7 linked regions of the Cricetulus griseus genome follow. The protein of the gene in region 7 interacts with the protein of the main gene of each other region in a biochemical or structural test. Links are inferred from orthologs where the notes say so. Each region holds a gene or a part of one and is shown on either strand. Other genes may lie near its edges.

Region 1 (4,015 bases), on a different chromosome or scaffold from region 7:
ACTCTAGCCACACACATTCCCTTTCCCAGAGATACCAGCTTAGTTGGGAGGCGGTGTGTGAGTGAGAGAGAGACAGGAGACAAGGGACAGTCTATTCCCTACCTCTTAAGTTCCCAGCCTGGTCCACACATGTGATTAACCACACTTCCTAAAAACATTAAAAAAAAAAAAAGTCACCCATATTTAACATTCACAAATGAGAACCTTTCTCGTTGTCAAAGAGTAACAATGCACGTTTAAGGCACTTTTTAAATACCTACAGAGGAAGTCAAACCAAGACTGTAGGCCTCACCTAATGGGACTAAATTCACAGTAATTCATACACTCTGGGTGTCTGAGTAACAAGCTTATCTTCCTCTGGGAATGTGACAGGAACAACCCAGCCCCTCTGGGTCACCCAACCCCCCCTAAGGGTTATTGCCAGAAAGAGTCTGAGAATTCTTCCCTTACCCCAAATTCAGGTACTTTTAATGACACTATTAAGCCACAAGAGCCACTTATAAATGTCATCATAGTCTTTTAATATTTTACATAAAAAACTGTATACACAGCTTATAGAACTTTTATGTAAACATCGTAAGCTCACCACTTTGTCATTTGTCAGTTTATTTAAAAAATAAAATAAAACAAACAAAAAAAAATCCCAAGACAATTAAAGTAGAAGTACCACTGGGCTGGGGAGGGGTGAGGGAAAGGGAGTAGGGGGAGGCTTTTCTCTGCACATCGTAGAGAAAATTTCACATAGCTGAAATGGGGGGGAGAGGTTTAAATAGACCCCAATATGTTGCCTTCCTTTATCAAAACAGTGTGCGTAAGCTATACAAATAAAAATCACAAAACAGTGTTGACACTTTTTTTCAAGAAAACAAAGCAAAAATTAGTGTTTTTTTTTTTAATCGCCTTAAAGTCATCATAGTATTAAAAAAAAAAAAAAGACCATCAGAAGTAGATGAGGTTACAGCATACAAGTGTGGTCAGAATGCTGTCTTATGCAAATGACAAGTGCACTGAATGTCGAACAATGAGACAATTGTGCAAAGAATTCTTCCATCAACAACAATAACAAAAAAAAGCTTCAGCCTTTAAATAAATTCAGTAACAATAGTCTCTTGGACTGAACAACGTTCACTTGTGGGACAGGCACAAAGTTCGATTATGGCAAAAGTGGCCCCCGTAGCACACCCTGGATCCTCCACCGGTGGCTGGAAAGGAGGTTCGCTGGGGGTTGGCCCAGGAGACTATCTGGAAGCCGCTTCCTCTCAACCCCAAGTCAGTTGCAAATGTCTTTCCCAGGATGTGAAAAGATGGCCAAGTCCAGTTCATGCTCGGATGGGAGGGCACCTGATCCAGCCTGGGAAAGGAGTTGCTCTTGCGCCCTGGGTCACACCACTCACCACCACTAAACAACACCATTCCGCCTCCGAAAATAAAATCTGTATTTATGTAACACCCCCATCATCTTCCCCAACCCTCCCCTCCCGTGGTTCCAGGGGTCTATGTTACAGACACGGTGGGACACTAGTGGCTTGCTGGTTACAAGCGGAACATCTGCTGGAGCTCGACCTCTCTGCGTGCCTCTGGGGAAACCAAAGGCGGGGGTGGGGCAAGAGTGGGGTGGGGGTGTAGGGAGTCGTACATACACACAACCACACTTTGAGGCCTGGCTCAGGAACCCCTTGGCATTCAGCAGGGCGCCCAGGCCTGTGCCACACAGCTGGACACACAGACACTGGGAAGGGGGAGCTCGGTGCCCACGCTAATTCTCGGCGTGACCAACCAGAGCCACCAGCAGATGCCAGGCAGTCTGGTGGTGTCCTTGGGGGCGTGGGTTTCCCTTTCTCCCGGCTCGTGGGCGACCCGGCCAAGAAGGGGGAGCCACGCTGGCAGGGACGGGAGGCAGGGCGCGGCCCTCATAGCACCTTGCAGCAGTTGATGCAACCATTCTGGGAGCCGTAGCGCTTCTGCAGCGCGGCGCGCGTGGCCGTCTCAAAGACCTCGCGCACGCCCTCCTTGGTCTTGGCCGAGCACTCGAGGTAGTCATAGGCTTGGATGCGCACCGCCATGGCGCGGCCGTCATCCGTGCGCACTGGCTCCTGCTTCATTCGGGCCAGCTCCGTGCGGACATGCTCATCGCTGCGCAGGTCTTTCTTGTTGGCCACCAGGATGATTGGCACATTGGGGCAGAAGTGCTTTACCTCGGGCACCCACTTCTCGGGGATGTTCTCCAGAGAGTCCGGGCTGTCCACCGAGAAGCACATAAGGATGACGTCGGTGTCCGGGTAAGAGAGCGGCCGTAAACGATCATAGTCCTCCTGGCCCGCCGTGTCCCACAGCGCCAGCTCCACCTGCTTGCCGTCCACCTCGATGTCCGCCACATAGTTCTCGAACACGGTGGGCACGTACACCTCGGGGAACTCGTCCTTACTGAATACGATCAGCAGGCACGTCTTGCCGCACGCGCCGTCGCCCACCACCACCAGCTTCTTGCGGATGGCCGCCATGAGCTCACCGGGCGCGGGCAGCAGGAGGGGCCCGCGAGCGCCTCGCCGCCGTCCCGCTCCCTGCTTGCCACTCTCCGCTCTCCCCCGGCGGCGCGCTGCGGGCTAGGATCGCTAGCTGCACCGGTACTCCGCGGTGGTGCGTTCTCTCGGGGCTCTCTGGCTGCCGCGGCAAGGGCGCGGGGGCATAAGGCGCACGGAGCGTGTCGCTGCGCTGCTGCCGGGTGGTGCTGCGGTCCTCGGCTGCTCCGGAGCTGGGCTGCTTTGTGCGAGGCGATGGCTAGTGCTGAGGACTCGGCCTAGCCTCCTTTCCGGAGAGGTTATCGTCCAGACCAAAGGTACAGGAGCGCGGACGACAACAGCAGGACTGCGGCGGCAGATGCGGGCTGCGGCCCTAGCGCCCGCTATTTAAAGAGTCCGGCCACTTTCTTAATATAGCCAGCCAATGGGAAGCCATCGGGCTGAGCTCATCGCTGCGGAGCTTGCTTCCGATTGGCCGTCCGCTGCAGTCCGAAGGCGTGTCCGGGAGAGCATGATTGACGGCCCTGTCCGCCGGGCTGGGAGAGGCGGTGATTGTGGAGTCTGCGCGGCGGCCCGCCCCGTGGGGCTCTGTGGCCGCCAGGTCCCCGCCTTCGCCGCAGCCTTTCCGAGCGCAAAGCCCTTTGGGTCTGGGTGGGCAGTTGCGAGACGAGCCTCACTTTTGTGGGGCGTTGGCTACTCTCACAGTTTCAGATTTACCTTGCTTCCGAGCAGATTCCGCGCTGGAGATCAAACACATGGGGGAGGGGTGGCGCCTTTAACGTGGTTTTGTTTTTACGTAAACAGACTCCCATGCACACTTTTGTCCCTAGCCAAGGGTATCTTTTTCTTTCTTTCTTACTTTCTTTAGGTGACATACCTCTCTTCTGCTCTGAGCCGCATCCTGGTACTAGCCCCCAGGCAGCCTTTTCACAATGGGAGGCTTGACAGTAAATTGGATGGGCCTGGGTGAGTCTCCTACAGGCTCTTCTCTTCCAAGGCCTGCACTTAGGTCTCCGGGTGAAGAAGATAAGGGGAGGAATCTTAGAGTAGCATAGCCTTAGGATAATGGAAAGAGGTCCCAGCCACTCGCTGAGAAGAAATTGTCCGGCTTTGAATAGGCAACCTCCACCCAGCTCTATAACATTACATCAGATTCTAGTCCTGAAGCCCGCAATATGCTGCAAGAAAACCCACCCACCCCAATATGATGAAACCCATCCATCCCAAGCAAATGAAAAGCTTGAAGCCGGGAAAGTACAGATGCAACCTCACTGGGAACTTGATGGTGGGCACACGGTTACTGTGAGGTGGAGAGAGCGTCTTGATATATAATACCAGGCCTTAATTCATTTATCAACCCATCCTGCAGGAAGTGGCAACTCCTCCTGTCTTAAAGGATCTAAGTCAGTCTATTATAAGAAATAGAAGGAGTGAAAAGCAGCAAGGGAGTCGAAGAGGGCCTCCCCCAGAAAAGCAAACTGCTTGAACAGAGCAAA
Region 2 (4,224 bases), about 140 Mb from region 7:
CAGGATTTTGTTATATAGCCCAGGCGGGCCTCAAATTAACAATCCTACCTCCTGGAGTACTGCAATTATAGGTTTCTCACCTCACCTACTTCCAGTTTTTAAATTCAGCATTTGTACACAGCATGCCATCATTGCTAGCAGTTATAACGCCATGGAACCAAATGTACTGTCTACAGAACCCACTAATCTCAAGTCAGTCTTGCAACAAGGTTAGCCAATCTCTCAAGGTTAACCTCCTCCTCCTCCTACTTCCACCCCACCCCATGGACTAAGAAACACCTGAACATTTTACTCTTCTAAAAATTTACACCGCTAATAGAGAGGATGGGCTGTTAAAAGGATTAATGATGAACAAAGAATAAGGACTATGAAAACACTCCAACAAAACCATTCTCACACACTGCACAGACCACTGCTTATGTATGTGATTTGTGCATTCTCACCAGTTCAAGTTAAAATCTAGTCAAAGGGGCTATAGTAGCCTGAAGACATTCTAGGGGGACCTCATTATGTTGTCTTTGTTAACAGTCAACTCCCAGAGGCTGGGTCCTCAAGAAAATCAACAAACTCAAAGACAAGGCTAAGCCAGAAAAGGGCTATGTACAAAAACTAGAAATTTAGACGGGCATTGGTGGCGCTCGCCTTTAACCCCAGCACTCAGGAGGCAGAGGCAGGCGGATCTCTGTGAGTTCGAGACCAGCCTGGTCTACAAGAGCTAGTTCCAGGACAGCCTCCAAAGCCACAGAGAAACCCTGTCTCCAAAAACCAAAAAAACCCCAAAAAACTAGAAATTTGTTTGGCAAGTGAACTGACCAGATTCTCCCTAAATACGCACAATCTGCAAGGTGAAGAACAGCAAGAGAGTAATCAGGAACCCTGATTTTAGCCGAGAGTACACGGAGGACTTTTTTTTTCAGATAGAAAAGTAGTTTTAGTCTAACTAGACATATGACCTTCAAAATTTTTAACGCTCACCAGGAACGGTGGTACACATCCCAGCACTATTCAGAAGGCAGAAGCAGGACAGCTAGATCTACAAATCAAGTTCCAGCGCTCAAGTCAGACTCTGTGTCCATTTCTCTTAAGTAGTAGGCAGGGGTCTCTCCCACTGTTCTCTCTGCAGAGTGCTAATAAACCTTTCTCTTGAAAAAAGTCCCTGAACTCAGTCTCCACGCCTACAAATGGAGTCAGCCTATAAATCCTTTAAATCTTTTCCAGTCTATATGGGGGAAAGTTGGCAGATTTTCCTTCTCCAGGAGATTTCTGGGTAGCGGCATTGTAAGTTGAACACTTGACTTTTGACTCAGTTAGTTATAGGGCTGGAATAAAGCTCAGAGATATAGCACCTGCTCACTATGCCCCAAGCCCTGAGTTTAATTTCAAGCACCAAAGAGAAAAAAAAAATAAAATAGAAAACACAAGCTCTCTATATATTTTATGCCCCTAAGAAACACCTAAGTAGACAAATTCTCACAATAGTTCTGAGAGCCTTCAATAGTAAGACCTAGCCTTGTATTTTAAGTTAACAAGGATACTTGTGTTAAATGTTCCAGACAGTATCACTACCAAGATAACCATGTGGATGGTGAGAAACCATCCACACGGTACATTCACACTTGGACATGTGACACTTAATGGCTGAAAATTCTCACCACATACTACATTGAGTTTCCCATCCCTCCAGGTTTGCCAGAGGAATATAATCTGGTTATATATAACCTGCAAAACAACACTTATTTCAAAAGAATGTCAGAAGACAGAAAGAACCATATGAATAACCAACAGAGGTTAAAATTCTTAGTGAGGACTATTAGAAAATACAAGTAGAACCAATTGTGGGACAAAAAAAAAAAGATGCCAATTTCCCACTTTATGCTACTAAACAAATCAAAAAAACAAAAACAAACAAAAAATATTTGGGTGCAAAAAGTACAATTTCAAGAAAACGACCTGAAAAGGGAACCCATCTGTAAGTGATTCCTAATTAAAGCAGTAACTTTAAGTAGAAATGCATCTATATCGATGCAACCTCTCCAAATTATTTTTACAATGTTTTTTCAACTGGAAAATACCTTCCCCCCATACAGTCTTCACCGCTAAGATTTCAAAACAATCATTTACTTACACAATCTCTAAGAATACGGCATTGAAAACAGAAAATCCACCCAAAGCCTCACTGTCTTCACCCGGTATAAAACGGTGATTAATGATCCACATTCAATGTAAAAGGCAAAATGGAGTTGTAAAAGAGTTTCTTGCCTATTCCAACTCCCGACACCACGCGCGCTTCACAGTGGCAGACTCCCCCAGCGCGGTCGCGGGCCGGCCGGGAGCCCCCGCCCAGCCCGGCGCAGCCCTGAGAGGAAGCGACGGGGAGGGCGGGCGGCTAGGGCTCCACCAGGCCCGGCCGGGCGGGGGAAGGGGGACTGGAGGCGGCGGGGCGCGCTTCGGGGACTGCGCGGGGCGGGCGGGGCCGCCGCCTCGGGCGCGGGGCCCCGGTCAGGGGGGGCCAGGGCTGCCGGCCGAGAGCAGCAGGTGGGGCGCGCCCGCGACTGGGGGACGGCGGGTGCCGGAAAGTGCCGGGCGGGCGGGCGGCGGCGGCGGCCGGCCGGCCGGGCCCCCGGAGCCGAGGCGGCTGGAGGGAATGCTTCTGCTCACCTCAAGGCGACCACTCCAAGTCCGGCCTCTTCGCGCCGAGGACGCCTGTCCGCGAGTCCGCAAGCTCGGAGACGAGGACCGGCAGCTCCGCGGAAGACGGCGGACTCAGCAGAGAACCGACGGAGGACCGCGGGCGGCGGGCGGCGGGCGGGGAGCGCGAGCGAACGAGGGCGGGCGGTGGCGGGAGGGCGGGGAGCGACGTGCGCGCCCCCGAGCGCCCTGCGGGCTCGAGCTGGCGCCAGTCGCGGCCCCGCGCACGCGCGCACTCTCGCAGTTCGTCCACGATTGCTCAAGAGCGCAACCACGCCCTAAAAGCAAGACGCTTAACCAATCATTGCGGCCGCGTGGAGCATCACGGGAACTCCGGGGCTATAAAAGACCAAGTTGCTATTTTATACTCACCGATTCACTCATCCTTTAAGTAGCAGGGCGGGGATGGGTGCGCCTGCGCGGTTTTAAAGCCCTGCCCCAAACTGCCAACACTTCGCGCAAGCGAAGTAGATCGTCTTTGCCCGACATTACGCGTGCGCACCTACTTCTCTAACCCCGGAAGACCGTGCGCTTGCGCAGTGAGAACTACGGTGACAGTACACCCGGTGGGGCGCTGGCCAGTCATGGCGGAACCTTGGTCTGGGCAGTTTTTGCAAGCTCTGCCCGCGTCGGTGCTCGGAGCGCTGGGCACCCTGGGCAGCGAATTCCTGCGGGAGTGGGAGACACAAGACATGCGAGTGACTCTCTTCAAGCTGCTCCTGCTGTGGTTGGTGTTAAGTCTCCTGGGCATCCAGCTGGCGTGGGGGTTCTACGGGAACACAGTGACCGGGTTGTATCACCGTCCAGGTGAGGCTCCCTACGAACCTCCTTGGCCTGGCTGCCCCTACCACCACCAAGCTATACCACTTGTTTCTCCTGTGTCCGCGTAGACTGCCACTGGTCTCCCAGAAGCCTCGTTGCACCCAGACTTACACCCCCATACCATCTTACATCAGAATCCCCACCTGTCCATAATCACGTTGTAACGGTTTCTCAAAAACCCTTACCAGACAATACTACCAGTCCCTAGCATCCCAGCCCCAATCTCTTAAACTGTACCAGTGGCCCCTTACCTGAGCCTGCTCAGATCCCCACCCTCAGCCTCCTGCAGCTCTGGGTGTGTTCCTGCCTCCAGGTCTGGGTGGCCAGAATGGATCCACACCTGATGGCTCCACACATTTTCCTTCATGGTGAGTAAATCTCCGTCTATCCCAACCCCATGCTTGGCAGGCAGAGAACACTGAGTGCTGGTGACAGGGAAGAGAATTCGCAGGGCCACCACCTTAGTGGCCTCTGCAAGAACCCTCCAATTCTGCAGGTAGAGCTCAGGATTCGAGTTGGGCATTTAGCAGTGCCTCTTATCAGCATATGCAGTGGGGATGGATGGTGGTGGTACCGTAATTTTAGAAAGGTGAAGTGGTAGGTAGGTCTGTTGGAAACAAATCCCTTGATTGGGAAGTCCTTCATTAGGAAAGTGAGAGTATCTATTCTAGGCAAGTACTGTACCATTGGAACTATAACGCCAGCCTAACAGCC
Region 3 (3,500 bases), on a different chromosome or scaffold from region 7:
AGAGAACCTAGGTTTGGTTCTCCACTTTTAGAGGATCTGATGCCCTCTTCTGGCTTCCTCAGGCACCAGGCACACACACGATACAAGCAAAGCACCCACACACATAAACACGTGGTTTTAAAATTTGGGTTCAGTTGGTATCTAATGTTTATTACATATACATGTATTATACACACTCATACCCACATGCTATATATTCCTAAAAAATACATATAAAACCCATTGTGGAGCCAAGTATATTGTGCATTTTCCTCCTGAGCAGGGTTTTTAGTAAAGTTAACTATTTCCTTAATTTTAAGTACATACCACTAATATTTCCAGTATCCTATTTCATCTTTTTTCAGATGTTATAAGTAAAATTACCATGGTTCTCCTTGGGCTTCCAAAGAAACAGACCCCTGTCAAATATGAACCAGCAACTAACCAACAATGTAACCAGTTTCCACACTCAAGCACATCAGGCTCACAACCCCTCCAGCAGGGAAGACACTCTCGGTACTCATGTGCTCAGACAACCCTGACCCTTCAGCATACAGCTGAGGACTTGTTCCTAACCAGCAGTGTGGTCATGCTCCCTAAGAATTCAATGTCCTCTTGCAGGAAAACGCCCTTACTGGCTCTGAAGAAGAAACATAACATGCACGCATGCTCTCAGGAATAGTCTGGTAGAGAGAGAAAATGTAACATTGTGAAAGGGAATGACAGCATAAGAACAAATATACAGGGGCTGGAGAGATGGCTCAGAGGTTAAGAGCACTGACTGTTCTTCCAGAAGTCCTGAGTTCAATTCCCAGCAACCACATGGTGTCTCATAACCATCCGTTATAAGATCTGGTGCCCTCTTCTGGTGTGCAGATATACGTGGAAGCAAAATGTTGTATACATAATAAATAAACAAATAAATAAAGATCTTTAAAAAAAAAAAAAGACGAGAACAAATATACAGGTGAACTACTGATGCAGAAGGCCACACAGTAAGCAAGTGGAGGAGTCTCCAGCTGACAGTCAGCCAGAGGCCAACCGCCTGTCCAGGAACTAAGTCTTGTCAGTATCACAGTGAGCTTCAGAGTAACTGCCCCTTACCTATCTGAAGTGCACCCAGCTGTGATAGACGCCTTGATGAGAAACTCACAAGAGACCCCCAGAAACTATAAGGTAGTAAATGTGTGCTATGCTTAAACTACCACACATGTGGCTATTTATTGTGTAGCAACAGATAACTAAAAAACCTAACTGCTTTGAGAAATTTTATGAAGTTCATGGGCCAGAAACTTAATTCCCAACATGACAGTACTTGGAGATGGGGCCTACAAAAGGTGACGAGACTGTAGCCCTGTAGAGGTGGAATTGTTCTTACATCAACAGGTTGCTTGGGCTGGAGTGTAGCGCCATGGTAGGGCACTCCCCTAAAATGCACACGACTCTGGTTTTGATCCCAGGCACCACAGGAAAAATAGAACTAGGCTTCTTTATATATGTTATTGCCTCCTTCTATCCTCTCCGTCACTCACACTCATATACTCTTCTGTGGTAGAGTTAGTTATAAGACCCACTCCAGACAGTCACTTAATCCTGGACTTTCTATGCTCCAGGACTTCTACTGTTAATCTTGAACAAAGGCTAATGTAACTTTTTAGCCAATAAACCTAGTAATGTGCAAATTAGAGAAATACATGTGGGTTTTTTTTTTTTTTTAATTCTTCTCAGTAGAATGAACTTACCCAGGCTGTGGTATTCTGCTATAGCAGCAATAAAGGGACTAAGACATCATCTTACATAACTCAATTCACAAAAAAAAAAAAAAAAAAAAAACTAAAAAATACTGACCACTATATCTACTAACAACTAGTAAAGAGTATTATCCTGGGCATTGAAAAATGAATAATGAGTAAGATCAAGGAAAGACTTTCTGACTCCCCAAAACTGTCATCTGATTGCCACATATGCTGTCATACACACACCATGCAAAAAGTAAACGTATTTTAATGAAAAAGACAGACTCTTGTAGACAGGGAAGATGTAAAGCCAGAAAAATAGTTGATATGTTGACAACAAAGCTCCCAAACAAACAGGAGGGAGTAGGGTCTAGTGTGAACATGGAACATGTATTTAGCATGACAGAGATGTCGGCCACAGAAAAGTAATGGGTGTTATTAGAGACAGTGAGTTCCAACAGCCAATCAAGAGTTTTAATGTTCAAAAAATGTTAACTTTAAAACCCAGTATTCCTAAGATGAAATCTTTAACAAAGGCTGACATAATAAGCCTAATTATGTGCAAATCGGAGAGACATGTTGGTTTTTTTGTTTGTTCTTAATTCTTCTCAGTTGGGCAAAACTTACCTGGACTCTCCACTCTCTTATAGTGGTACGGATTGATACAAACTTCCTTTTGCTTAGATCCAAAAGGAAATTCGCAAATATCCAATGGCTTTAGCTCATGATGACTCTGTAAATCTGGCCAACGCCAAACACGACAATATATAACATGGGGTAAGCCTTTCCTGTGAGAAACTTGTAGGCGTCCATCCAAGGACCTGGGGATAGTGACACACTTGCTGGGCTGTCCTGGGCTACTCAAGGCTTTCTCCAACTCCTCCATGGCACCCTTCTTCTTCTTCAGCTTTTTCACTAAGGCATCGACTGCCTTTTCTGCCCATTTTTCTTCCTCATCACCTTGTTTCCAGCCCAGCAATCGCTTCACGGCTGGACTAGTGAAAGAAAACAAGCTGGCCATTGACGTCATTTGACAGCAATCTTCAGAGGCTTTCCTGTAACCAAAGTCAGGAGATTTTGACAGCAATCTTCAGAGGCTTTCCTGTAACCAAAGTCAGTAGACGGGAAAAGCGTGGGTCACAGGTGCAGTCACAGGCAGGTCTCCAGCGGAAGGCCCAAGTGGAGAGGAGGAGAGACATTTAACTTCACAGGTGCCATATGCTTCTTTCATTCGGACAAGTCCTGAAAGAGACGGGGAAAGGAGCCTAATTCAATCTAAGAACACTAATCAACGTAACTGAAAAGTGTTATCATAAAAGTAGAAAAGTATTCAAAGTAAAACAAAATGCATAAAGCCAGAAAATAAAAATAGCTCTAAAATTCCTGTAGCCACTCACTCCCTTGTTCAGAACACAAATAGTTCAGCAGCAAAGCAAAGGTTTAAAGAGTCATCTAAGACGGAAAGAAGCCAGATAAGAGTTGTCATAAGCAGCACTCAGGAGGCAGAGGCAAACAGATCTCTCTGAGTTCGAGGCCAGCCTGATGTACAGAGTGAGTTTCAGGACAGCCAAAGCTACACAGAGACACCCTGTGTTGAAAAACAAAAACAAAACAAAGAGGTCACAAGATGTAGGAGAGTATCAAACACAGCCTAACACATATCACTACCAGGAAAGTGTCAACTATTTTTAGAATGAGGAGTGCTGAAGAGATACAAAATGTTACTCAACTCCTCAAAATGTCGGTTTGTACTTTATAAAGACTATTTGACTACTGGCTTCTATA
Region 4 (3,500 bases), on a different chromosome or scaffold from region 7:
GCTCTTGTAGACCAGGCTGGTCTCAAACTCACAGAGATCCACCTGCCTCTGTCTCCCAAGTGCTGGGATTAAAGGCCACCACCAACCAGCTTTCCTCCCTCCCCCCAATGGAATTTGATCTTTTAGGTTGGAGAGGTAGCTCAGTGGTTAAGAGCACTTGTTGCTTTTCTAGAGGACCTGGTTTGGTTTACAGCACTCACATGGTAGGTCTGTAATTCCAAGTCCAGAAGACACCATCTTTCTGACCTCTGACAGCACTAGGTGTGACTGGTGCAAAACACTCAATACACATAAAATAAATACACTAAAAAAAATTTTAGTCTTTTAAGAGTATACTGGCTAGCTGGGTGGTGGTGGCACACACCTTTAATGCCAGCACTTGGGAGGCAGAGGCAGGCAGATCTGAGTTTAAGGCCAGCCTGGTCTACAGAGCAAGTTCTAGGACAGCCAGGACTACACAGAGAAACCCTGTCTCAGACAAAGAGTATCCTGGCTGGTATAAGTAATGCCATTTTGTTTTCTTCACACAGAGTCTCACTGTGTAACCCGGAATGGCCTATTAGAATGCTCTTGCTTCTGCTTTCCAAGCTCTGGGATTAGAAACAAACGCCACCATGCTAACGAGACTGTGCAGGGAATGGAACCAGGGCCTGTACATGTTACACAGGCCCTCCATCACTGGGCCCATACTCTGAGCTGTATGCAGGCCTCCATCACTGGGCCCATACTCTGAGCTGTATGCAGGCCTCCATTACTGGGACCATACTCTGAGCTGAATTCAAGCCTCCCGCCCACCTGCCCTCCTGCCAGCCCCACTCACTCCAGTGATCTTCTTCTTGCATTTGGCACAGCTGGGTGCATAGCGCACGTCATAGCAGGAGGGGCAAAAAATTGCCCCCTTCTCCTCAAAGAAGCCACCCTCTTCCAGGACCTTCCCACACTGGCTGCACACAAATTCTTCAGGGTGATATGCATGGCCCAGTGCGACCAGGTAACGGCCCCTGCAGGGAGAAGGAATGTATGCAAATGAGGTATGCACCCCAGGAGGAAGACAGGAGTGGTTTCTCCAAGATCCTACAGCAAGAGGGAGCAAATGGAAAGGGAACCCTTATATACTCTCCTGATAACTGCGGCAGTTTTGGTGCCCTGGTTTGGGAGGGAATTGACAGTTTAAGACTACCAAGACACTCCTGGGGGACTACTGCCCAGTGTGAGGGTGAAACCCCAACTGACCCTGGTGAAAACCCTGTCCTGCTTCCCTGTTCCATTTGGCCTGAGCAGGGGCCTGTGAGCCCTGGATAAACAGGGATGTCAGGAGGGGATGCTTTTTACAAATCCTCTGCCTAAGGGTTGATGGGAGACTAGAGCAGCCCACCAGGGCCAACTAGGAAGGTTCTAGAATCTGGCTGTGAGGGGCTGTGTGACTTGGCTGGGTTCCAGGGAGCAGTGTATAGAGGGAGGTAACTGTGGCCTACTGGCCCTGAGAGGTGTGGTTTAGCAGAGACCATGCATGCTGGGGAAGCAGCAGCCCGAGAGCTGCAAAGTGAGACGCAGCTTCAGGGTGCCGCTGGCACCTCACTGCAATAGGCTGGGGAGCGTATGGTAGGAAGTGTAGGATTAAGCATCTGAGAATGGGGGCTGCTGAGATGGCAGTGAAGAGCACTTACTGCTCTTCCACAGGACCCAGGGTTGAGTCCCAGCACCCACATGAAGGCTCACAGCCAACTACAACTCCATCCAGCACCAGGGAAATGCAGCACCCTTTCCCAAAGGTTCCGTGCGCACCAGGCATGCGATTGGTGCACAGATACACACACAGGCTAAACACCTATATTCGGGAAGTAAAATAAATTTTAAAAGATCTAAGGTTCCAGGCTAGATCCTTCCCCTGCTTCTACCAGATCCTTAATTTCCTCAGAGTAGCAACTGAGGTAGGGCAGATAGATACATCGGGGCCAAGGCCAGGCTGCAGGGCAGGAAAGACCAGGGTTAGAAGGGAGCGCTCACCGAATGATCTTGTGGCACTGGTAGCACACGGGAGTCTTGCCATTGTTGCTGCCCCCTCCTGTGCCCCCTCCAGCTGCAGCCTGCACTATGGAGGTTCGGTTCTGCAGAGGCGTGGGTGTGGCAGGCTGGCTATGCCGGGTCAGCACTGTGCTGGTTTTGTCTGGGGCATAGCGCTCAGCAAACGCAGGGTCCACGGCCCAGGGTGGGCGACTGGTGGGGCTGGGGGTGGTGGTGGGGCCTGACAGCCAAGGAAAGTAGATCCAGAGGGGCACTCAGGGAGCCCAAAGTGCAGAGGGTAGAGCCCAGGGTAGCCTACAAAGGCCCACCACCCCTATGACCATGGCGGCTACCCACCCTTCTTCACACCCAAGTCCACTTTCTTACCAGGCCAGGGTTCCTGGGGTATAGTTGAGGCTGGGGCTGGGGCTGGGGCTTCTGTCCTGGGCACCTGGCTGTAAGATCAGCCATTCAAGGCCCTGCCTGGCTGAGGCTCTGGGCATGGTCCCACCCCCTAACTCCAGTTGTGCTGGGCCCATGAGTGAATCTCAAGTGCATGAGAGCGGCTGGGATGGATTCCAGGTCCCTCTGGGGTACAGGTAGGAGGGGGTGCCTCCCCTAAGTAGGTTAGAGCTATCTGGTGTGCTGTATGGAAGCAGGGTGGGGCTCCCGTTCCTACGGCAGTCTTTGGGTCTCCTCTCATACAAAAGAACCAAGCTAAGGCACAGCCATCTTTGTTAGGGATGTCCTCCCACCGAGAAGACTGCAGGACCCGCACCAAGTCTAAACCATTTAACGCCCCGTACCCAAAACATAACCAGACCCAATAAGACAGAAGACAGCGGCAAAGAAAGCGAGGCTGAGAACGTTTATTTTCATGCTCAAGGCAGTGCAGACCTGGCAGACAGTAGAACCACAGGGCCAAGAGGGAAGGCAGTGTCAGACGAAGCCAGGCCCTGTGCCAGGCGGGCTGCCAGGACCAGGCCAGTAGGAGGTTCAGACCAGGGGCATGAAAGCGGTAGGCAGAAGCTGGAGGCACCAATGGGTGCCCTGGGAGGGTAACAGAGAAAGGAAAGCAGAGGGCAGCAGGCTGGAAAGGGCCAGGCTATGACTGCACGTTGAGCACGTGGGCAGAGCGCTGGTGGTGCCAGTCCCGGAGGCGTGTATAGCGTGGGCTCTGTAGCTCCAGGACATACTTTTCCCTGAGGGGCAGAGAGAGAGAGAGGAGGAGGAAGTGAAAGAAGGAGAGGTGGAGGAGGCAGGGGGTGGAGGGAAGGAAGGAGGCAGGGAGAGAAGAGAGCCCTGGCGGGAGAGGGCCAGGAGCAGCGGGGTGGCGGCTGGAAAGAAGAGTGGGAGGCTAGAGGGAGGGCGGGAGCCCACGCTTTTACCTTGACTTCTTCATGTAGTCCTCATCCGGGTCTTGCACTGAGAGGACAGAGGCAGGCATTGACCAAGAGAAACAGGGGTCACCCCAGCCTCGAGTCCTGGCAAAGTCA
Region 5 (4,297 bases), on a different chromosome or scaffold from region 7:
AGTCTCAAGAGTTTGAATTTAGGTTAAGTCTTGGAGGCAGAGACCCTTAGAACTCCCTACAACCATATAAAAAAAACAGTTAACGTTAACAGAGAACATTATTTCCTATTATTAGAAAAAGGGATGGTGTCGGAAAGAACCCGAACCAGTTAAAGCAGCCGCCATCTTAAAATGCGGGATAGAAGTTAGAGCAATAAAATGAGACTAAACCACCGGAGGAGGTAGTTCTTCTTACACTAGACCTCCGAAAAATCCTAGCTTCTGCCCAACTGAAACCGACAGCGTAAATTATCAAATTATAGTGGATTGCTGAAACAAGGCTGGAGGGGGGAGGGGGTGTCCTAAGCAAAAGCAGTGGGTCCATCCTGTGTTCCTGCACTGTCAAGCACCCCCCCACCCCGGACGGATCTTCCTAAAGGCATTTACATCAGTTCCCGTGCCTCAGATAAATAGCTTCGGGTGCAAGCTGCGACCACACAACACAGGAAGTGGCAACAGTGTCAGTCCACCTCCTCCCAACCCCACTTGGTCTTGTGTAACTGCCCAGATTGGGTTAAGCTTCTGGACAGACTTCGTCACTACCTTTTAGCAAATCGAGGTTTGTTTATAATACCTTGACCCTCAGTAAAGTTCGGAATAAAATGTTTTCTTTTTCATGTTTCCTTTTCTTCCTAGAAGGCCTATAAGCATAGTACACCTAAAATAAGTTTTGAAGAACCAGGAATAGGAAAGCAGTACTATGCCATCTGCCCGAGGGCTTCTACACAATTCCACTTTCCAAACCGGACTAACTCTTCGTGAGGCACAAAACCGAGGTGCCTGAAAGCCACGCTCTCACCCATTAATTTACAAATTCTTGTGAGAAATTCGGTCTAACATTTCGCTTGCCAAAAGCATTCAGTTCCCCCAACTTAAAGAAACTCATCTCATAAACTACACTCGCACCCCACTTCCACACTTCCCCCTGGGCCCGAGCCTGCCTGCCTGCCTGCCTGCCTGCCTGGCTTCCCAGGGCCCCCCGTCCGGATTAGTCAGTCCCAACAACTTACCTTATTAATCCGTTTCAGCGCCATAGTCTGTGCTTTTCGCCGGGCTCCTCACTATCCCGATGTGTACTCAAAGGCCCGGCCGAAAACTCTTGATTATCCCAGCGGCGAGGATGGATCGTCTCTTCTCCTTCTCCTCCTCCTCCTCCTCCCAGCGGCTCTGCCAGACACAGGCGCCTTTTTTTTGCAAAAACGGAGCAGATCAGCCACTCGCCAGAGGCCGCGGAGAAAACCCTGCCGACTCCGAGATCCCTGCAAACCGCCGCGATCCGGGCAGGGCGGGGTGGGGTAGCGAAGCCACCAACCACTGCTTCTCCCCGCGGCGGCGGCTCGCCCCGCAGAGGGCGAGGGTGACGGGAAGAGGTTACGAGTTTAACTTCCCGGCCTCTCGGAAGGAAGGGCCCCGGGTGGGAGAGGAAGAGGCGGAGGAGAAGGGGGTGGGTGCGGGGCCGGGGCCGGGCAGAGGAGGAGCCGGGGCCTAGTCGGCAGGCAGGCAGGCAGGCAGGCTGGCCGGACCGGCCGGCGCTGGGCCGGCGTCACCGGGGCAAAGAAAGGCAAGGGGGAGGGGAGCGGGAGGCTCCGGAGCGGCGCCGGGCTGCTCTCCGTTTCCGCTCCAAAGGTCGGCGGGCGGGCGGACGGACGGACGGGCGTGCGGGCGGCGGGCTCGCGTGTGCGGCCGTGCCCACGGCTCGGGCTGCTCCGTGTCGCCCCTGACACTGCCTCCCTCCTCTCCGCCTCACAGCGCGCTCCTACGTGCGCGCGCCCAGCCTCCTCCTTCACCACCACGCGCCGCCGGCGGCGGCCGCCAGGCTCCGGCTCCGGCGCGAGGGAGGACGCGCCCCTGTCTCCCCCCCGCGCCCGTCCTCCCGTCCTCCCTCTCGCCCCCCCGCCCGCCCGCCCCGGCCGCGCCGGCCTCCCCCCTTTACCCCACCCCAGCCCGCGGGCTGCCCACTCGGCCGCCCACAGCCCCGGGCGCCGCTCCGCGCCGCGCCGGCCCCCGGCCGCTCGCCCTCCCTCGGGCCGAGCGAGCCGTCCCCACCCACGCGTACAGAGGGGCCGGGGCCTCCCTCGAGCTGCGGCCTCGGCCTCGGCCTCCTCCCCGCGCGGCAGCTGGTGCCTCCCCGGCCCTACGGGGCTCACGCGCACGGCACAGCCACAAGATGTCCGCTCGCTCTGACGGAACTACTGCCAGCTGCCACGCTCCGCCCCTCCCCCCGCCTATTCACCGCCGCGTATCCGTCCGCCAACGCCGCCGCCGCTGCCGCCGTCGCGAGCGCGAGCCGCGGGCCGCGCGCGGGGCGAGCCGAGCCGAGCCGAGGCGAGCGAGGGTTGAGGGCAGCGGTTTGCCTCCCTGCCTCCGGGCCCGAGCCGACGCGCCAGCCACCCGCTTGCCGCCTCCCGGCCGGACCGCACAGCACCTTCTCACTCCACTGCTCGGAGGTCGGGCCGGGAGGGCGGGGGACGGAGGCGGGTCATGGGCCGAGGGGAGGGTAGGCGAGCGGCGGAAACCCTGAGACTCAGAGAAGCATCGAGAACCGGAAGGAGACCTCGGGAGGAAGGGGATGGGAGCGGCAGCTGCGCGGTCGAGGCCCCCGCGCCCCTCCCTACCGCGGCCCCCTGGTTTCCTCACTTGGTATGGCGGAGGCGGCGGATCTCGCGAGAACCTCGTGGCCGGCTCAGCGGAGCTCCGGCTCTGCAATGACTTAAGGGCAGTTTTGTGCTCTCTTCCTGGCTGGGGCCCGCCCCCAAATCCGCAACTTATCGCGAGAGGCGCCGGTAGCACTCTCCACGCCCCCCTCCCCCCCAGGTTCTCACTGGGCGGGCCTTGGGCCGAAAGCACCGCCCCTGAGTGCTTCTGCTGGTGGGCGGGAGAGGAAATGGAATTCCCCAGGCCGGCCGGGCGCGAGGGCGGGCGGGCGAGGGCGGGCGGGCGCGAGCGAGGGGCGGGCGGGCGGGCGTGCGTGCGTGCGGCCGGCGCGCGCTGGCCCCGCCCCCTCGCGGGCGTCCAATGGGGGACGGGCTGTGGGCGGGGCCGCGGGGTGACTCGGTGCCTTAGCGAAGGTGGAGCGGGCTCCGGGCTTCCGGGGGCCCAGGTGATGGAGATCTCTCTTCCCGGGCTCCTCGCAGAGGGCTAAGCGGCGGGAGGAGGCTCCCCTCAGGTTGGGAACGGTAATTTACAACAGATCCAGGCTGAGGGCTGCTCGCACCGCCACGTGGGCCCCGCGTGAGCCGCGCGCGGCCCGAGGGGCGAGCGTTAGCGTAGCCTTAACAATGCGGCTTAATTGTGATCGGGCTGCTTAGAGTCCCGACGTCAGGCAGTCAGGTGGGGAACAGCCAGAGGAAGGAATGCCTGAGGATCTTCTTTCTCCCGGTGCTGCTGCAGTTTTTGAGCCCCAAAGTGGTAAAACATTAGGGAATCAGTCTGGATTACATTCAGGGGTGAGATCTCTCAAGTGTACCACTGCCCTGATTTTGGGCCGCCGTGGTTAAGGTGTAGAGGGCCGTTTGTCATCTAGTGTATTCTTTGGTTAAAAAAAAAGAACTAAGCCTTTAGTTTTCAAAAGGCGTTTAAAGGCAGAAAGGATGGACCTGCTTTAGGGTTTTCTGGCACCCATGAATAACCCCACTTGAAGTGAAATTCTGCAGGACTACATGGAAATAGCTTGAATTTTGAAAACTTGTTCCAGACAGTAGTCCCTAATTAAATGATAAAAATTGATGAAGGATCTAATATATATTCTAAGAATGAGGGTGTGTAATATGTGTGTGTATATATATATACACATATAGCTGCTTATACATTAAAAATGTCACTAGAGCAATCGGTGGGATACAGCTGCTTCAACTGGTGTCCATAGGAATCACCTGTAGTTTAGTTTAAAATGCTGATTTTGATTTATTAGGCCTGACTAGGAGCCCGAGATTATACATTTACAACAAGCTCCCAAGTGATAGGAATAATTTGAGCATTTCTGACTTAGTAAAACCCTGAGCACATGATGCTCTCCTGGCCACCTCTGACACTTCCTCCTCCCTGAAAACAACCCATTGTTCTCTCTTCAGGCTCACCCTTTAAAGTAGAAGCAAACATTAGGCATGGGGTGGAGGGAGAAACCCAGATGGCGGCTTTTGCTTACTGTTTTTTTTTTTATCTATTTATGATAGGGGTCGGGTTCCACGTCTTCCAGGTTTGTTTCTTCACCACCAATCTAGATGACTGATGCCTGCCCTCTGTCAGAGTCGCTGTCGTC
Region 6 (4,181 bases), on a different chromosome or scaffold from region 7:
CCCTCCTCTCTGGCTCCTTCCCCAAAGAGACTATCAGCAGAGACCAGAAGGCTTGGAGAGGAAGAGCTGGGTGTGTGCGGCAGGGGAAAGACTCACTTGTTCTGTTTTCCTGAGGGAAGGGAGGGAGGGAGCTCCCCCTGCTTGGGCATGGCTGATAAGGCACTCTGGGAGCAGGAGGCATTGGCAGAGGTCAGAAAGGGCATGGGTAGGAGACTGGGTGAGTCAGGCAGTAGAATAAGTAAATGCCAGTGCCCAGAAAAGATGGGCGCCCCTGGCACCTTGTTCTGTGCTGTATTCTGTCTGTTTCTCACACCAAATTCCCAAAGTCTCATTTATGACTACATCTTCCAAATTAACCCTTTCTTCTCGGGGTCCACATACACACAAAGCATCACTTTATCAACCTAACTTCCTCTCCCAGGAAGCCACCCTGAGGTGTGGATCTGCTGACTAGAAGACATCCCAGCCCTTTTAAAGGGTGCCTTTGGAGAGTGGGGAATGACCAACAGCACACATGGAAGGGCTTCCTTGCTTTCCCAAGAAAGACTGACAGAAACAATGCAATGGGTAGGGACGTTTTCGTCTTTGCATCAGCATGTGACCTGCAAATACTATGCTCTTGGTTTTAATGTCGTCAGTCTATTGGTTTACTGCAGCTTTTGTTTACAGGCAGAATAAACCGTGTCTTTTGGCAGCTTCACCCTTAGCCCGGGTCCACTGGACCACGGAATTGGTTCTGAAGAAGGGTCATAATAAGGAGCAGTTCCCTCTTTTCCAATGCCCTCCCCAGTAGGGGGCATCTGGCTCCAGGACTAGTCAGATGCTCCTGACTCAGAGGACAGCAGCCACTCTAGGCTGAGGTCATCCTATCATCTCTCTGCTCCGTAGTTCTTCTTTGACATAAAGCTTATTAGCCAATTAATCCTGCACCTTTGTCCCCAGGTTCTGCCTTTTGGACAATCCCCAGGTTCTGCCTTTTGGACAAATACAAGCCAAAAAAAAAAAAAAAAAAAAAAAAAAAAAGCCTTGTTTAGTTTCTTTAGCCTTTCACTGCCCTCTGGTTTCCCTCTGACATGTAGGAAGCCCTTCCTGATTGCGCACTGCTTTTCCTGGCATTATGAAGTTCAGGGAAGACAGGAGATACACAGTGACACTTGCTGCGGCTTTTTAAAACAAACAAAAAAGTGGAAAGCAAGAAAATTGTGATGAAAGCTGTCTGTGGCATCTGTCTGTAGCAGTGACCCTCAAAGTACAGTCTCCTTCAAGCCTTCCCTCAGCTGCTCCAGGACTCTCCAACCGTTATGTTTAGGTCCCTTCAAGAGGGACCTCGCCTGCCGGCTCAGCGCTATTTAGTTCTCTCTACTTGTCTCAGTAGACAGTTTTCAGATGAGTACTTCTCTTGGGCTGCAAGTGTGTCTACTTCAACACCATAAAAGGATTTATTTACCCGAACAGAACGGCACAATGCAAGAGTCTAGTGCTGAAAGCAGAAGGGGTTAGAACTGGGGAGGACTTCCCAGTCCGTTCCGGGTGAGGGAACACAGTCAAGGGCGGGAGGGCCAGTCTGAGGGGCCAGTGTACCATGCTCTGTAAAAAGTCACAGGGAAGCAAGTTCGGCTTCTCAGCATTCCTGTTATTGATTCAAGAGTTACAAAAGGGGAAGGGGGTCTGGATTCCATGACCTGGCTTTAGATTCTGACCAGTGTGGGCTGTGGCTTCATGCTCAACTACAGTCAAAGCACACGTGCACACAGGCGCTCACAGTCCTAACTCGGTTCCACCACTCTACAAATAAAGGTGGGCAGAATATGAATTTCTTGTTTGTTTGTTTTTTTTCCTCATTAAGTGGAGTGGAAGGTGAGGAAGAGGCCTACTTCAGGACGCTGGCTTCTACAAAAGTCTGGCATCCACAGCTACCCTACCTCAGGTCCCAGAGACGGATCGCAGTTTGTGTTTTCTATGATTTAGGGTGACTTGCTACTCAAGAGACCTACATATGCCCCCTGCTACAGACAGGAACGGAAAGGATGGTGGGGCTGGGGTGGGAAAGGCAGAAAGGGACGAGGGACAAGATGAGCAGTGTGTTTCAACAGAAAATTAAAAAAAAAAAATCAATCCCGTATTTCAGGGGGCCAGAACAGGGGAAGAGGCAGCGGACGTTCAGAACTTCTGAGAAAGGTGTCCTCACAGGCACATTTAATTAAGTAAACTCCTAATTCCCACCCAGGTAAAGTCACTCGGGTGACTTTTCTCTGCAGATACAGGACTTTTGCGACCCCTGAACTTGCAGGGAGGGAGGCGGGGCAAGCCGGAGAACCAGCCGCCGTGGGGACCGGGTCGGGACGGCTTGGGCAAGGGCGCCTACCTCCTTCTCGGAGACGTAGAGCTGGTCGCCTTTCAGCACCACATAGCGGTTTTTCCAAATCTCCCTGAAAATCCCTTTCCCGCAGAATTTCCGGACCCAGCCGACCTTCTCGGGCGCCGCAGAGTGATGGTTTCCATCGGGAGGCCCCTGCGCGGGGCGAGACGAGGAGCGGCGGCGGCTCAGGCGGGTCTCCGCGCCCTCCCCGCCCGCCCGCTCGCCGGCCCGCCCGCCCGCTCCCCGCTCGCCGGCCCCGGCCCCATTGTCCGCGCGCCGCGCACTCACCCGCTTGCCGGAGCCGCTCTTCTTCATGGCCGGCGGGATCGGGGGCCGCGCCCGCTGCTCGCTCGCCGGCTCGCGCTACCCGCAGGCCGGGCCCTCGCTGCCCCCGCCGCCCATGCCCGCCCCGCCCCCGCCCCGCCGCACGGGCCCCCGGCCGCCGCCGCTGACGTCGCGGGCTCCGAATGAAGGGCGACCGTGGCGCCGCCGCCGCCGCCGCGCGCTCCCCGCCCCCCGCCTTTGTTTCCGACCCGGCGCCCGGCGGAGGCGCGAGCGGATAACCGAGAGGCGCGGCGATGGGGGCGGGCCCGAGGCGTGGCGAGCCGGATGGAGCGGAGGCGCGGGGCGAGACCGGCCGCCTCGGACCCTCAGACGCGGGCTACGGAGCTCCCTCCGGAGGCTCCGGTCTCGACCTCCTCCGGGGCGGCCGCGAGCGCCCCGCGAGGCCTGCGGGAAACACGCGTGCGGCGGCGGGGAGGCCCGCGAGCCGGCCGAGCCCTGAGTTTGTGACGGGGCCGGGCGGGAGCCCAAGTTTGAGGACGGCTTTCCTCACCACTCGGCGGTCTCCGTGCCCCTGCCGGGTAAATGGAGGAGGGTGAGCTGACCCATGAAAGCCCCGGAGGACCCAAGGGTTGTCTCCTAGGGCCAATTACTACCAGACAATAAGCCAATAAACCTATTACCTGGTATAGTATGGTAAACACAGCAACCACGAAGTGAGTAAAGACCCCTGCTACGGAGCAGGGGAAATAGTCTTTTTCCAGAAACGTTCAAGATGAAGGGTTGCGAAGTTTGTGGTTGGAGGCGTGGAGGATGTTTGGGCTTTTTTGGAATCTGTCAAGAAAGAACCTCAGACCCATCTCCCTTCCCAATCCTGTAAGATTCTCTTTCCTAGCCATACGAACTGATTTTTTTTTTTCTTTCTGGTGGATGCAGAACTTTATCCTTTCAAAATATTATTTTGGCACTTAAAAATATTGAGTACCGTTTTGTTAGGCATATAGAATGGGAATGTTATCCCTTGGGAAATGATCAGTCGGGCACGGAGAACCAAATGACATGGTCAAATTGACACACTACTGTTACATGAATTAGAATATAGGTTTTCTGACCCCGTTGTACCTTTTAGACTTTGTACACACAGAGCGCACTTCTGAAACTATCCCCTTCCCGTCTCCCCAGCTCAGTTTGGTACTGTCCTGTTTAAAAGGTGATGAAAAAAAAAAGTGAGAAAATGCAGGCTATGTGAGGAAGCATAATGTACCAGTGTGAGGACACAGCTGAGGAAATTAGCCTACAGGAGCTTTCGAGAACTTGTTGGCCGGGCATAGAAGAATGGTTTGGATTGAATATATATATATATATATATATATATATATATATATATATATATATATATGGTCTTACACAGCCTAGGCTGCTTTCAGCCTTACTACATAGCTAAGGCTAATCTTGATGTGCTAATCCTCCTGTCTCCACCTGATTTACATAGTTTCAAAGGGGCTGGGAGTGTGGCTCAGTGGTAGATCTCTTTGCCTAG
Region 7 (3,500 bases):
AATCGTAGGCACAGAGCAATCAGGAATGGTGTTAGAAACGATAAGCCACCCACTCACTGTGTAGGAGCACATGCCATACCATGCTGAGGCAGGCTTGGTGTCCTACATGGTCCTGGGAATGGATGAATTAGCCCATCTTGCAGATGTTAACAAAAGCTGGGATAGATATAAATCATTCCCTCCAGACCTCCTCATTGGGTCACAGGCAGTAGCTGAACCTTCTGTCCTATTATGTAGCATCCCAACAACCTTAGGAACTAGTGTGCTGAAGGAGAGGTAATGACTCTGAGACTGTGCAAAAACATTTTCAATAAGTTTTGGAGAAGGAAAATGTGGAACCACATATCAGATAGACAGTGCCTGTCCATTTCTGATAGGTACATGCACACACACAGCCAAGGGTTATCCATGAACCTTCAGGCTGCACTCATGGGCAAAAGTCACTACAACTCTAACTGCTCTGCTACATTACAAAATCCAGTTCACAAAGCAGTGAAATAGGCACCCGCTGACTCAAGCACCTGTCTCATCTGACCCTAGGGTATGATCTGAGGTTCTACTGGAGATGACATGAAGGACGCATGACCCCACGGTGGCCAAACTTACCAGGTATGAGCCTTGGGCAAGTTGTCTGTGTTGGCATCTATCAGGTGGATGGTGAAGAGTCGAGGCCCTGCTGCGCCTGTAGAACCTTACAAGACAACATTCTAGTTAATGTACTTCACAGACAAAGCCTGGGAATACCTGGCCCTGCGGCCCTGGGGCAGTGGGACTCATTCCTGAACCCCACGGACTTAAGAGCCCCTATGTATACCGTGCCTGGGAACCTCTTTGGGGGGTAGCTGAGGCAGAGAGACTGATTTGTCTCCACACTTCAGTTGACAGAAAACACCAGCCACTGGACCATCCCCTGCTGCTGAGGTTACTACCAAGGCTGTTAGTCCATGTCATGCCTATAGGGGTGTCACACACTCCTCTCAGCAGGGCAAAGGCTGGCAGTGCTGAGGCAAGCTACTGAAAGGGCAGTGTGGCCTCCTGGCCACGCAGCACCTGGCCTGTGTACCTCCAGTGGAATGCCCTGCTCTAAGGGACATTCATTCCTCCCTCCTCTGGGACCAGTCACTCCAGGACTGGATGGGGACCCTGTCCCATCCCTGGCTCACATCCAAGCCCCTGCCTGGTCTTGGATAATATTAGTAAGACCCTTGTGACATTAGGGTTTTTCTCAATGGGAACATTTGGTAAGCAGGCCTGCTGTGGAGAAGTTGGAGGTAAGGAGAGAAGGGTGTGGGGGTCACAAAAATCTGAATGCGCACGAAAACTCACTACCAAACAACGGTCTTTTCCTTAGTGGGCGGAGAATAAATCCCATGTCCTTAGTGTGTCTTACTTGGTTCATCACTGGTGTGTAAGGGACAGCAAGCCCTGTTCCACCCATCCCCTTGGAGGAGCAGCAAGCCCAGGCTTAACAGAATATATCAGTGCTAGGAGAAGGTGGAGATTCCTTCTGAATGTGGGGAGGAACCCTGCCACTCCTGCAGACCTGCGTCACTACGGAAATAAGGTGGACTCAGTCTCTCAAACACTTTTGCAGCAATACTAGAACACTGAAGCTCCAGTGTCCTCCACCCAACTCTTCCACCAATCCCCATAGGGTTGGTATTAGGCGGAACCCACCTTAGGTTGTAAAGGCCAAAGGCTATCAGTAGCCCTTGCTGCTTCTGGACCTTGGGATCCATGGTCCAAAGGGGACTCCAATGTGACCCTACACCTGCCAGGCATCCCAGAGCTAAGTATTTGTTCTAAGAATGCTGGCCACCGTTATTCTCTAGTGGGACAGTCACACTTCAATTCTTGCTTCTACCATCTAGGACAGAACATGGTAGCTAAACACCTCAGGGAATGGCCCTGACTCCACCATCAGTCACCTTGCAGAGCCTTGAAGCCTTGGAGAGGAACTCGTGTGGACCCGGTCACGAACTGCAGGAGTCTGGCCCTCCTCTCCTCATCGAAGGTCTCCACTGCCTGCCAGAACCACCTCACAATGTTGCTGTCGGCCACACAATGCTTCAGGCGTGTGTTTGACTTCCAGTCATTCAGGTCTATCTTATCCAGCCCACCTATTATCAGCTGGAGAAGGGCATCAGGCTGGGTGTTAATTCTAAAAGGTCTAAGACAGCCCCCCCACCCCAGACTCCATACTGATAGTGCAACTCCCAAGCCAAACAGCCACCTCGGTTTTGACTGGTGTAGCTACCAGTGGGCTGATACCCCAAAACCTCAGGGGTGAGTTTACTCAAAACCAGGGAAGAGTGACTGGGAAGGGCTGACAAGGCGAGAATTCAACAGGCCATGTGGGGAATGAAGGGATATGGGGGATGCTCACTTTCCACTTGTTTAAAAGCTTGCTCTAAACTCACAGCCTACAGAGATGTTCCACTCCAAAGCTCAGTCTCACGGTGGGCAAATGGCTATAAGAACAAGCTGGAAGGCTTAGGCCACTTGGCACCAGGCAGAGCTAGCAAAGGATGAATGAGTCATTACTGTTCAAGTCCCCAACATTGACATGTTCTTAGTCTATTAATAGCCAGAATGGAGAGCAGAGAACTGGGCTGAGAGAGGCCTGGTACAAAGCAAAGGCTAGAGATCCTAAAAATCCAAGGCACAGGCACTAACTGTTGCCAAGGGGACAGATAGTGCCCGGTGTGACAAGACAGTTCAAATGGCTCTGTCTCCCAACACTAAGCCCACTACACACACACAGGGTTGCCAGTGGCCTCACTTACCTCCAGTTCCTTCTGGTCAAAGGGCTTCAGTAAGTGTTGGGGAATGAGTTCATTAAACCCTTTCTGAAGAGCTAAGAACTGGGCTTCAATTCCTCTCATAAACCTCCAGTTTACATACAACCTGAAAGGAAAAACCATACTATAAGCAACTGTGGAGAGGCCATGAAAGTACTGTCCCCACAGTGGCTGGCGCAGCTGTGACAACACATCACATGTAATGTTGATGCAGAGCCTGCTGAGTGGACGCCAGCCCACTCCCACCTCCCTGCTAGCTCTTAGTTTCTCTGTCTGGCCTTCTCTTTAATCACTAGTATTACTTTAAGCAGATGCATGTTCTCCCTGAATATCTGCATCGTGCATGGGCCTGGTGCTCATGGAGGCCAGGGAGAGTGTTGGATTCTCTCAAATTGGTTATAGTCAGCTGTGAGCCACCACATGGGTGCTGGTCCTCCGTCCGAAAGAGCGGCCAGTGCTCTTTACCACTGAGTCATCACTCCAGCCCCTTATGTCATCTTTTTGAGACAAGGTTTCATGGAGCCTAGGCTGGTGGTAAACTTGCTGGCCTGGAAGTCTTACTGACTTGTGGCTTCAGAGTCCCCACCTGGCTCTTCCGTCCTCCCCTTGCCACCCTACCCCAGGCTGGGACTGAACTCACTATGTAGCCCAGAATGGCCTGGAACTACTCCTGTGTCTGCCTCCCAAGTGCTGGAATTA

Evidence for each region.
Region 1: the proteins of Smurf1 (region 7) and Rhob form a complex in vitro, tested with the Homo sapiens proteins (2 studies listed by BioGRID and IntAct, with this or other methods). The link is inferred for Cricetulus griseus from reciprocal best matches to the Homo sapiens genes SMURF1 and RHOB.
Region 2: the proteins of Smurf1 (region 7) and Rhoa form a complex in vitro, tested with the Homo sapiens proteins (2 studies listed by BioGRID and IntAct, with this or other methods). The link is inferred for Cricetulus griseus from reciprocal best matches to the Homo sapiens genes SMURF1 and RHOA.
Region 3: of the proteins of Smurf1 (region 7) and Smad5, one has a biochemical effect on the other in vitro, tested with the Homo sapiens proteins (3 studies listed by BioGRID, with this or other methods). The link is inferred for Cricetulus griseus from reciprocal best matches to the Homo sapiens genes SMURF1 and SMAD5.
Region 4: the proteins of Smurf1 (region 7) and Pdlim7 are reported together in a solved structure, tested with the Homo sapiens proteins (2 studies listed by BioGRID, with this or other methods). The link is inferred for Cricetulus griseus from reciprocal best matches to the Homo sapiens genes SMURF1 and PDLIM7.
Region 5: the proteins of Smurf1 (region 7) and ubiquitin-conjugating enzyme E2 D3 form a complex in vitro, tested with the Homo sapiens proteins (15 studies listed by BioGRID, with this or other methods). The link is inferred for Cricetulus griseus from reciprocal best matches to the Homo sapiens genes SMURF1 and UBE2D3.
Region 6: the proteins of Smurf1 (region 7) and Plekho1 form a complex in vitro, tested with the Homo sapiens proteins (4 studies listed by BioGRID and IntAct). The link is inferred for Cricetulus griseus from reciprocal best matches to the Homo sapiens genes SMURF1 and PLEKHO1.

The regions. Positions count from the first base shown.
Region 1 is NC_048600.1:18,982,914-18,986,928, forward strand, and holds Rhob (rho-related GTP-binding protein RhoB), read right to left. Parts: upstream 2,530-4,015; 5' UTR 2,502-2,529; coding exon 1,911-2,501; 3' UTR 501-1,910; downstream 1-500. UniProt on the Homo sapiens protein: Mediates apoptosis in neoplastically transformed cells after DNA damage. Not essential for development but affects cell adhesion and growth factor signaling in transformed cells. Plays a negative role in tumorigenesis as deletion causes tumor formation.
Region 2 is NC_048597.1:216,484,918-216,489,141, reverse strand, and holds the start of Rhoa (transforming protein RhoA), read right to left. Parts: upstream 2,801-4,224; 5' UTR 2,659-2,800; intron 2,264-2,658; exon of another isoform or gene 2,126-2,263; intron 1-2,125. Other genes in the region: Tcta (T-cell leukemia translocation-altered gene protein), read left to right, coding at 3,273-3,495. UniProt on the Homo sapiens protein: Small GTPase which cycles between an active GTP-bound and an inactive GDP-bound state.
Region 3 is NC_048596.1:275,741,512-275,745,011, reverse strand, and holds part of Smad5 (mothers against decapentaplegic homolog 5), read right to left. Parts: intron 2,958-3,500; 5' UTR 2,746-2,957; coding exon 2,343-2,745; intron 1-2,342. UniProt on the Homo sapiens protein: Transcriptional regulator that plays a role in various cellular processes including embryonic development, cell differentiation, angiogenesis and tissue homeostasis.
Region 4 is NC_048596.1:274,490,765-274,494,264, forward strand, and holds part of Pdlim7 (PDZ and LIM domain protein 7), read right to left. Parts: intron 3,430-3,500; coding exon 3,393-3,429; intron 3,207-3,392; coding exon of another isoform or gene 3,110-3,206; exon of another isoform or gene 2,854-3,109; intron 2,460-2,853; coding exon 2,392-2,459; intron 2,246-2,391; coding exon 2,008-2,245; intron 1,002-2,007; coding exon 821-1,001; intron 1-820. UniProt on the Homo sapiens protein: May function as a scaffold on which the coordinated assembly of proteins can occur. May play a role as an adapter that, via its PDZ domain, localizes LIM-binding proteins to actin filaments of both skeletal muscle and nonmuscle tissues.
Region 5 is NW_023276806.1:24,045,351-24,049,647, forward strand, and holds the start of ubiquitin-conjugating enzyme E2 D3, read right to left. Parts: upstream 2,801-4,297; 5' UTR 2,677-2,800; intron 2,594-2,676; exon of another isoform or gene 2,465-2,593; intron 2,235-2,464; exon of another isoform or gene 2,096-2,234; intron 1,224-2,095; 5' UTR 1,074-1,223; coding exon 1,050-1,073; intron 1-1,049. UniProt on the Homo sapiens protein: Accepts ubiquitin from the E1 complex and catalyzes its covalent attachment to other proteins. In vitro catalyzes 'Lys-11'-, as well as 'Lys-48'-linked polyubiquitination.
Region 6 is NW_023276806.1:60,524,041-60,528,221, reverse strand, and holds the start of Plekho1 (pleckstrin homology domain-containing family O member 1), read right to left. Parts: upstream 2,801-4,181; 5' UTR 2,675-2,800; coding exon 2,648-2,674; intron 2,513-2,647; coding exon 2,366-2,512; intron 1,798-2,365; exon of another isoform or gene 422-1,797; intron 71-421; exon of another isoform or gene 1-70. Other genes in the region: uncharacterized protein LOC113833187, read left to right, coding at 2,938-3,222. UniProt on the Homo sapiens protein: Plays a role in the regulation of the actin cytoskeleton through its interactions with actin capping protein (CP).
Region 7 is NC_048597.1:81,289,125-81,292,624, forward strand, and holds part of Smurf1 (E3 ubiquitin-protein ligase SMURF1), read right to left. Parts: intron 2,908-3,500; coding exon 2,787-2,907; intron 2,131-2,786; coding exon 1,929-2,130; intron 692-1,928; coding exon 607-691; intron 1-606. UniProt on the Homo sapiens protein: E3 ubiquitin-protein ligase that acts as a negative regulator of BMP signaling pathway. Mediates ubiquitination and degradation of SMAD1 and SMAD5, 2 receptor-regulated SMADs specific for the BMP pathway.